Oryzias latipes: one gene and its partner. The protein of the gene in region 1 interacts with the protein of each later gene in a biochemical or structural test. Links are inferred from orthologs where the notes say so. Each region holds a gene or a part of one and is shown on either strand. Other genes may lie near its edges.

Region 1 (4,482 bases):
TAGTATATTTTATTTTTCCAATGACCTAGCGTGAGATTATTGCTTCAAAATAAAACAACAAATAAAAAAACAAGTCTGATGCACATTTATGCCCACAAAGTTATCGAGCTTCATTTATATTAAATGAAATGTCAAGAATTAGAACTACACTGGGTCAAAAATTCTTACAATTGGTAAAATGTTGTCTAAATAAGCAACATAATCTGCCAATAGAGTAAAGAAAATACTCTTACCAAAATATGAATGGTATTTTAAGAAAAAAATTCCAGTTACTAAAAAGTGTTTTCTGAACTAAGATTATTGTGCTTTTCAAAAACTTTCTTGATAAGATTATTTTTTAAACGTAAATAAGACATTTTTTCTTGAAACAAGGGTTTCATAAGATTCCGTTTTTGCATTGTATGTTTTTATATTGATTGCCGCATATATCTGTTGGCCACATTTGTTTGATTGCTCATGTGCGAATGTTGCAAAGAAGGGACGAGTGGCAGCTGCAAAAAGTTAGAGCTCACGCCAAGTGGTTAAAAACGCAGGATGTAGGAGAAAGATCGTGACTGCTGTCGTGACTGAGAGCAAACTATCTATCTATCTATCTATCTATCTATCTATCTATCTATCTATCTATCTATCTATCTATCTATCTATCTATCTATCTATCTATCTATCTATCTATCTATCTATCTATCTATCTATCTATCTATCTATCTATCTATCTATCTATCTATCTATCTATCTATCTATCTATCTATCTATCTATCTATCTGAATTGAATAAACAGGAGAAAATTGGTGTATAAAATCCGTTATTAGAATGTCCATGTTCAGATTAGGGCCGTCCCGCGTGTGTCCCGATAGTGTGTCGGTTGATGCTCCGCTCCTTTATCTGATGTCTCCAGGGGCCGAGCGAAGTTATTTTTTATCTCCAGGAGCCATGACTCTGCATGGAGGCCAACGTCCCCGGAGCTGCAACAACGCCTCTGACACAGAAGATGATATTTTATTTCTTTCTTCCAGTCAGGATATGATGATTAATTAAATCGGGAGACGTATATATCATTGCGCATCATGGTTTAAAATAGTTAAGCATTAATAGACGAGCGTGGATTGATGACATACGAAAGAAACAGACAAGAAAAAAAAGACTTTTTTGTATAGTTAATTGTAAAATAAGAAAAAGGGAAAAAACATATGATTTGAGTATATATTGTTCAAAAGCTGCAATATTTTGTTTATTTTATAAAAAAAAGAGCCGACTTTAGTATCTCAGCCCTACAGTATGCAGTCCACTGCCTCTTGTTACAGGCCGTTGCTCTGTGCCTGTTTGCTTTTTTAAATGCCTTGCCCTCCACAAGACTATATAGCCCACGACAGCCAAATAATAATGAATCATTTCATAAATAATGGGTTTAGGGGCTTATCGGTAATGAAGAGGCCGCTGCCGTGCGCTTATCTCACTCGGCCACATTGCGGCCTGTGTTCCGCTCCCCATGCAGAGGGAGCGCACTGGATGCGGCGAGGAATAACTCAGAAAGGCGCGCACGCCCATACACACACAATCTCTCACACACCCTGCTCACACACTGCTCCTAAACTGGTGGAAAAAAACCTCAGACATGGATGACCCACTCACAAAATGGCTCCACTTACACAGTAACATCAACAACGCGTCTGGAGCGGTAAGTCCGAGAAATATGCGCTTTGTTGGAACCGTCGTCTTTTAACGCTAAAATCCAGCTGCTGTCGGACACTTATTAGGGATATCATGGAAGAAATTTGATGACATTTCCTTCGGTTTTTTGTGCGATCGTGTGAGAATGTCCTGGATAACGGATGCGCGGCCTGCGTATGCATTCACGGGGAAAAGGAGTGCGCTTTTTTCGACGAAAAACCATCCATCTGCGGTCTTAAACGCGTTTCTGTTACATTTAATCGAATATTTCACTCGAACACCTGACGCCGGTGTGTAGTGCAGCGATGACCCTGTTAACATAAGCAACACTGGCCTTCTTATTCTAACCAAATGGACGCAGCAGTTTTCTCATTTTGCGCGTAAAAACCCAATCCACCCGGGTTCTATAGGTTCTTCTAGGGATTTCTTTGGATTAAAAACGAAAGAATAGTTTTACTTTGACAGGCACCACTCGTTACTCAGCTCACCGTGTGGTTTTGCTCTCCAAACTGTCTCTACGAGGAGGTTTTATATCTTTGTTCCCAGCAAAACACAACGAATTTCGATTTGAATTCATTAACTTTAAATGTTATTTAAACATTAAATATATAGTTACATTTACACAAGTATATAAAGCGATAGAAACTGAGGTAATCTACGTTTTATTTAAAAATGTTTTTATATGTAAACTAAAATGTCACATTTAAAATATGTCTCCATTTTGTGGTAAAAACGTTCAAAGCTTTTCCGAAACTGTTAAACGTGATGGGCCCAGCTTTTAAACTGTTCCATTTTTTATATGTTCCAAAGAACCAAACCCAGAGAAATGATTTGGATTTTAACTTTAGCAGTGCAACTCTTTAAATAAGAACTGAAAGCAGCAGCACATCGTCGATTAACAATCATGTTCATTTGATTAATTATAGACTCGTAATTAACCGCACGATATAAATGAAAGTCTGGTGGTGACGATCTCTTTCTTTCGATAGGTCTGTAAGGACACTGAATGATGCTAATATTTGACACGGACGCCTCAAATCATCTTTTGATAATGAAATAATTGTTGAGAATTAAATGAAGGACTGCAGGGCGGACTTGAACGATTAAAAATGATGGAAAAACGGCAGCAGGAGCTTTGTCCTGGAAGTCCCGATGCGGGCTCCGGTCCTGGAAAGTGGGAGGATTCCGCCATCATCTCCAGACAAAACGGATACAAGGAGGACGAAGAGCCTCAGAGAGAGGAGGAGAGAGAAGAAGAGGGAGAGGAGGAGGAAGACGATGAGGAGAGGGGAGGGAGCTTCAAAGGCGCTGAGGAGACGGATGACGTTCCTCTGCAGAACTCGAGCAACGGGACCAGCATTATCATCAACGGCGTTGCCAAGGAAACTGCCTCTCACAACGCCCTTGACCTGAAAAGGGAAGTGCCGGTGATCGAGCTCTCCAGGAGGGAGGCTATAAAAGTGCTAGAGCCGAGGACTGAAAGCCATTTGGTGCCGATCACAGAACTTCGCAGACCTCCACCGCTGCCGCTCCCTCCGCCGCAACGAGACGACGCTCGAATGGTCCAACTGAGCCCAAACGCGTTTCCTGTCCCGGCGCGGGCGATGCTCTACAACCTGGCACAGCCTCTTGCAGCCATCAACAGGTAAAGCTGCAGGCAGGAAGAGAAAAAACTAATGATTTTATGAAAGCACAAGCATCTTTACTGTCGGTGTTCAGCATGAAAAATATTGTGGCTCCATTGTGCATTGCAGAAGTATTAAATTCTGCAAAAAAAGTGGTGCACTTGAGTTTTATTTAAAGTATTAAGTCACCTTGCTCTCTAAAGCTTCAACTTGTGAACAGGTTGCAACCTTAAGAGTTGGTTACAATATAATGAATGATGAAATGTATGTTTTTTTTTTTTATAATGCTTTTGTATTTTGTTGTTGTTATAGTCTTGGAGGGGAGTCGGAGCAGTACAGCATGTACCCCAGCAACAGGGTAAAGCGCCGCCCGGCGCCTTATGAGGTTGAACTCGACGAGGGTAGGCGCATTTTAGATCTTTATAAGTATGGTAAGATGCACTTCTGCTGTGTCCTCCTTCTGCCAGTATAGTTCCTAAATTTCCCTTCCCCATCTCCATCTTCATCCATCCACTGACATGGACCTGCTGTGTTGCAGAAGATGCCTCACCCAAAAAAAAGTCAACCAAAAAAATGAACAAAATAAATCATGACTCAAATTAGCTGCTGCTAATGCCAAATGTACCTGCATGCAATTAAAGTAAGCTCTTCTCTGGAAGATTTGGGGTTTATTTCAGAAATAACGTTTCCACTGCTGCCCACTCGCAGCCATGTAGGGGAGGAGAATGGGGATGCTGCTGCTTCCATGCCAAGGTTTTACTGCAGAGTGGGCTGAGGGATTAAGATAGACTGGGTGTGTTCCAAGGGCAACAATAGCCCAGAAGACATCATTGTTGGAGGTGGGAGGATGTGACTACCTGCAGTGAATCATTTCATTATGTCTAAATAAAAGGTAGGGTGCAGAAACTACTGAGTGAGTGGACACCCCCTATCAAATGTGGTTTGGCAACATGAACGTTTTTCCCATCCCTTTTAAAAAGTTTTGCACAGACTTTTGGCAAGAAAAAGAAAAAAAAATACTTTAATGGAGGACTAACTTTGCAGTTTTTCTCAAAGTTGGGCATTTGTTTTGGATTTGCAGCTAATTCTTCATTCCTTTTTTGCACTTGTGATGCTTGACCTCTTTGGCAAACCACATTTTCTGTTCCAGCTCTGCTGGTTGTTTTGTATTCTTTTCTATGTGTTCACT
Region 2 (4,390 bases), on another chromosome or scaffold:
CATGGTTGTCTTTATAACTAAGGCCCAAAGTATGTTTTTAGTTTGTCCACTGTCAAGTAATAATATGCACAAGCCTTGAAATATGTTTAATTTGGCAAAGTGTCAAATTATATATTCTATTATGTGAAACAACAAGTTTTAGTTAATTCTGTGTTTGCGACAGTGCCATACATTATCTCACCCATCAGGGACAGAGAGGCAACAGTCAATTGAACTGATCCATTTAAAACTTTAAGAAACCTCATGTTTTAGTCTCCGTTAGTCTGTTAAATTAGTTTAGCAGTGATGTTTTTCTGTGGACTCACATGTTTGCTTATATGTTTTTCAACAGTTCCTAGGAAAGCTAAATGTCAAATGCTTTGACATTTGTCAAATGCTCTTAGTCTTTCACAACCTCTTGTAGTGAAAGAGATCAAGTTAATAGTAGTAATAAAAAGTTAGCTTTTTCTGGGGTGTTTTTTTTTGTGTGTCTCTTTCGGGGTCACGGGGCTGCCGGAGCCTATCCCGGCCACTTGTGGGCAAAGGCAGGGGACATCTTTATATGCGCTGGCCTTTATTAAATAAATAAATATAAATAAATATAAATATAAATCCTGGACAGGTCGCCAGTCAGTTGCAGGGCCTCAATCACACACTCACACCTAGGGGCAATTTAGAGTAACCAATGAAATGTTTATGATGTGGGAGGAAGCCGGAGTCCGGAGAGAAAACCCACGCATGCATGGGAAAAACATGCAAACTCCACACAGAAAGGTCCCCCATTGGTGTTCTGTTTCAGGTCCCCCAGCCGGGACTTGAACTGGGGGCCCTTCTTGCTGCAACCAAGAGCACTAACCACTGTTCCCCCCCAAAAGGGTAGTTACAGTTCTGATAAATTTATTTTCATCTTTATGTTACCCTCACTTAATCAAAAATATAATATAGTAAAGTAACTCAGATGGTCTGGCAATTGTTTTTTCTTTAATGTCATAACCAGGGCTCTGTAGATCAGCTTCTCTGCAGCAAGATCTTGTTCTCCTGTTTTTCCAATTCTGTACAGTAATGATGCCACATTTATTTAACACAACATTAACCGAATAGGGGATAATTCCGATAAAGCAAAAAATAAAGTTCAGAAAAAATATGGTTTTGAGATAAAATATGACACATGTAAACATCTGATTCTATATAGCAAATTACACCTTTAATCCACATTTTATACTAAATTGAATGAAAATATATTATGAATTGTCACCCCCCCCCCCCCCCATTTCACACATTATATATTAAACATTTTAATAAACAGTTCAAACTGTTTGTTGGGTTTTTTCACTATTTACTTTCTATTGAACTGTTTTTCGTTTTGGATCCAGCTCTCTGTTCTGTCCTAATAACTTTCTCTACATGATGATGGAGCTGCGGGCCAGGACACTTGTCTGCTGACATCACGACGTTGGTTATCTTTGCTCCATCAGCGCCTCAGGGGGAGAGAATTTCCCCTCACGTCAGTGTCGGTCACGACTCCGCTCCACGCCTGACAGAGCAGCCGGCGCGAACTTCTGTCGCTTTAAGACCGATTTCCCCCCATTGTCAGGCAGTCGTGAACAGGAAAAAGAGCAGTCAGTCACAGAATGGGGTGGGGGGTCATCCGCACGTTTAAGGCAGCTCCAGTCTAACCCCCCCTGGCCTGTGAGCGAATCCGCGGTGTCCTGGATGGCGTGGAGGTGCCAGCGCGCGCGTCAGCCCCAGGAAATGATGACAGCGTCCTCCATCGCCGCTCTGCTGACTAGAACAATCGGCCTTTTTGGTTATTCCTCCGCGAACATCTCGACTGAAGTCATCTTCCTGAATCAGGTCGTGCAGGGGGGATCTGGGCGCCGGTAGAGGCAGGTGCAGCGGCTGCGCAGGAGCTTCCCGGGACGCCGCAGAGAGACTAGAGGCTGTGGAGTCCGAACCCCGGAGCTGAGGCGCAGCGCATCTGGAGAAGAATGGTATCCACCATAGAGAGGAAGACGCTGGAGGCCAGCGAGTATGTGCTTTCCTTTTCCAAAGAATGAAGCTCAGGGTTCCTTAAGGCTTTCAAGGACATTGTCATCACAATTTAGAAAGCAACCAAACGGCACGTTATTTTAGGAAAGCAACCTCTGCAGTTAGATTCCACAAACAGAAGGTCTGGAATATGCAAAAGGCTTAGTAAAAAAACTAATCTTCAGGAAAAAACACACTAGACAGCAGTACAATTAACTATGCAGAACGTTAGTTTTACTTAAGAAATCTTATAGCAAAAAACATAATAAAATAAAATCTTGAAACAAGAAGTTCCACAGTAGCATTCTAAAAGGGGGAAAAATGGGTTAAAAAATCTAACTATTAGAGAGAATTACTGAAAACTGATTGTTTTAAAGCCCAATAAGTATTTTTTGTCATAGTTTGAGGCAAATGGTTTGTATTTTTTTTAAACTAATTGCAGTTCATCTTAATTGCAGTGCCAAAAAAACGAGTGTAATAAATGGAAATGACTTATTTTAGAACAAAATGTGAACAAAACCAGAATACGATCTAGCACATTTACTTAGAACATAAATCTAAATGTTTGTTTTGAAATTTAATGACAATAAATGGCAGTCTACATTTAATAAACTAAAAAATAACATCCTAACTGAACCATAAAACACAACAATTTCAGTGCATTTGAGTCATATATTAAGTTTTTATTCTGTTAAGATTTGGAGCAAAATGATTTTGACTCAATTTATTAATAATTTCCTTATTTCTACATACTAGTTCCTAATGAGACATAGGAATGTTTTCCACTGTACAGATTTTAAGAAAATCTTGGAAAGGTGTAGAGCAAAAGACAAATAAAAACAATTTCCAACCAGTTAAAATATCTTGAAAGTCTAAAACCAAGGTTTACAATCAAGTATCTATAAGTATCCCATAGTTTGTAGTGTGAGAAAGGGGAGCAAACAATCTTGTAACAGTACAAAAAAACAAATTGTATTGTATACACTTTCCAAATGTATTAATTTAGTATTTTAATCTGAAATATGCTCCTTCTCCAACCTTGCAGCTCCAAGCTACAAGACAAAAACATAAATAGTAGCATAAACCTTTGCAAATCAGTTGATAAAGATAGAATTTATCGGGGCACTAATAATGACATTTTATAGAATATGTTACTTTCAAAAGAAAATTGTATCAATTGGATAAAATGTGTTTGTTTTTTTTGAGCTAAGAGGAAAATCAAATTAAATTACAATAAATGAAGACTATGATCGATCTTCAGGGAATTCATAGATGATGAAAGTTCAATCCAGTTGTTTTTAATCTTCTTTTCATTTATATCAGGGAGCCGGTGGACGAAGTCCTGCAAATGCCCCCCTCCCTGCTGACATGTGGAGGTTGTCAGCAGAACATCGGGGACAGGTTCTTCCTGAAAGCCATCGAGCAATACTGGCACGAGGACTGCCTGAGCTGCGACCTGTGCGGCTGTCGTCTCGGAGAGGTGGGCCGTCGCCTCTACTACAAGTTGGGAAGAAAACTATGTCGACGGGATTATCTGAGGTTGGTCTGATGTCAATGATTATCTGTTTATTCCCTTATTTGAACAATTTATAAGAAGTATGCAGATCTAATGGGATATTAGGGGAGCACTGTCTTTTATTCTGGTGAGTCAGTTGAATGGAGATGCTGGAATGTCTTCTTGTAACATTGTCTTCCTTATCGATCATGCTCCACTCAGGCTGTTTGGTCAGGACGGTCTGTGTGCTTCCTGTGAAAAGAGGATCCGGGCGTTTGAGATGACTATGCGTGTGCGAGACAAGGTCTACCATCTGGAGTGTTTCAAATGCGCCGCCTGCCAGAAGCACTTCTGTGTGGGTGATCGCTACCTTCTCATCAACTCGGACATTGTCTGTGAGCAGGACATCTTCGAGTGGACTAAGCTCAACAACAGCAATATGGTGTAGCAGAATCTCTGACTGCTTTTCAGGATGGGATGGAACAAACCAATATCGCGTGGGCTCTGAACAGAATCCCTTTTTGCAGCCCGTATGGGTTTTATCGACCAACACATCGGGACTACAATGAACACAATGTAGTGTTGCACCATCCTGTGGAAATAACAACACCAGCAATACGAAAATATTCCCAAATGCAAAAAACGTTTTAAGTACGAAAAATTCTTAAATATGCAAAGAATAGTTTTGAACTTTGTAGAAAAAACAAAACAAACTTTGTTTTAAGGTTGTAAGTTGTTTTTGTCAGGCCTTCATATCTACAAGTGGATTCAAAACTTTAATTAGAAACTGGGTTGTAATTTCTATATGTTTTTCTTTGAACTCATTCATGGCTAAAAGGAATTTTGTTGAATCGTTTTAAGTAAATTTAACCAAACACTGATTGTGGG

The links.
Region 2: the proteins of T-cell acute lymphocytic leukemia protein 1 (region 1) and lmo2 form a complex in vitro, tested with the Homo sapiens proteins (2 studies listed by BioGRID). The link is inferred for Oryzias latipes from reciprocal best matches to the Homo sapiens genes TAL1 and LMO2.

Annotation. Positions count from the first base shown.
Region 1 is NC_019875.2:24,187,864-24,192,345, forward strand, and holds the start of T-cell acute lymphocytic leukemia protein 1, read left to right. Parts: upstream 1-1,518; 5' UTR 1,519-1,675; intron 1,676-2,657; 5' UTR 2,658-2,777; coding exon 2,778-3,313; intron 3,314-3,605; coding exon 3,606-3,724; intron 3,725-4,482. UniProt on the Homo sapiens protein: Implicated in the genesis of hemopoietic malignancies. It may play an important role in hemopoietic differentiation. Serves as a positive regulator of erythroid differentiation.
Region 2 is NC_019864.2:14,855,599-14,859,988, reverse strand, and holds lmo2 (rhombotin-2), read left to right. Parts: upstream 1-1,501; 5' UTR 1,502-1,967; coding exon 1,968-2,008; intron 2,009-3,330; coding exon 3,331-3,546; intron 3,547-3,724; coding exon 3,725-3,950; 3' UTR 3,951-4,383; downstream 4,384-4,390. UniProt on the Homo sapiens protein: Acts with TAL1/SCL to regulate red blood cell development. Also acts with LDB1 to maintain erythroid precursors in an immature state.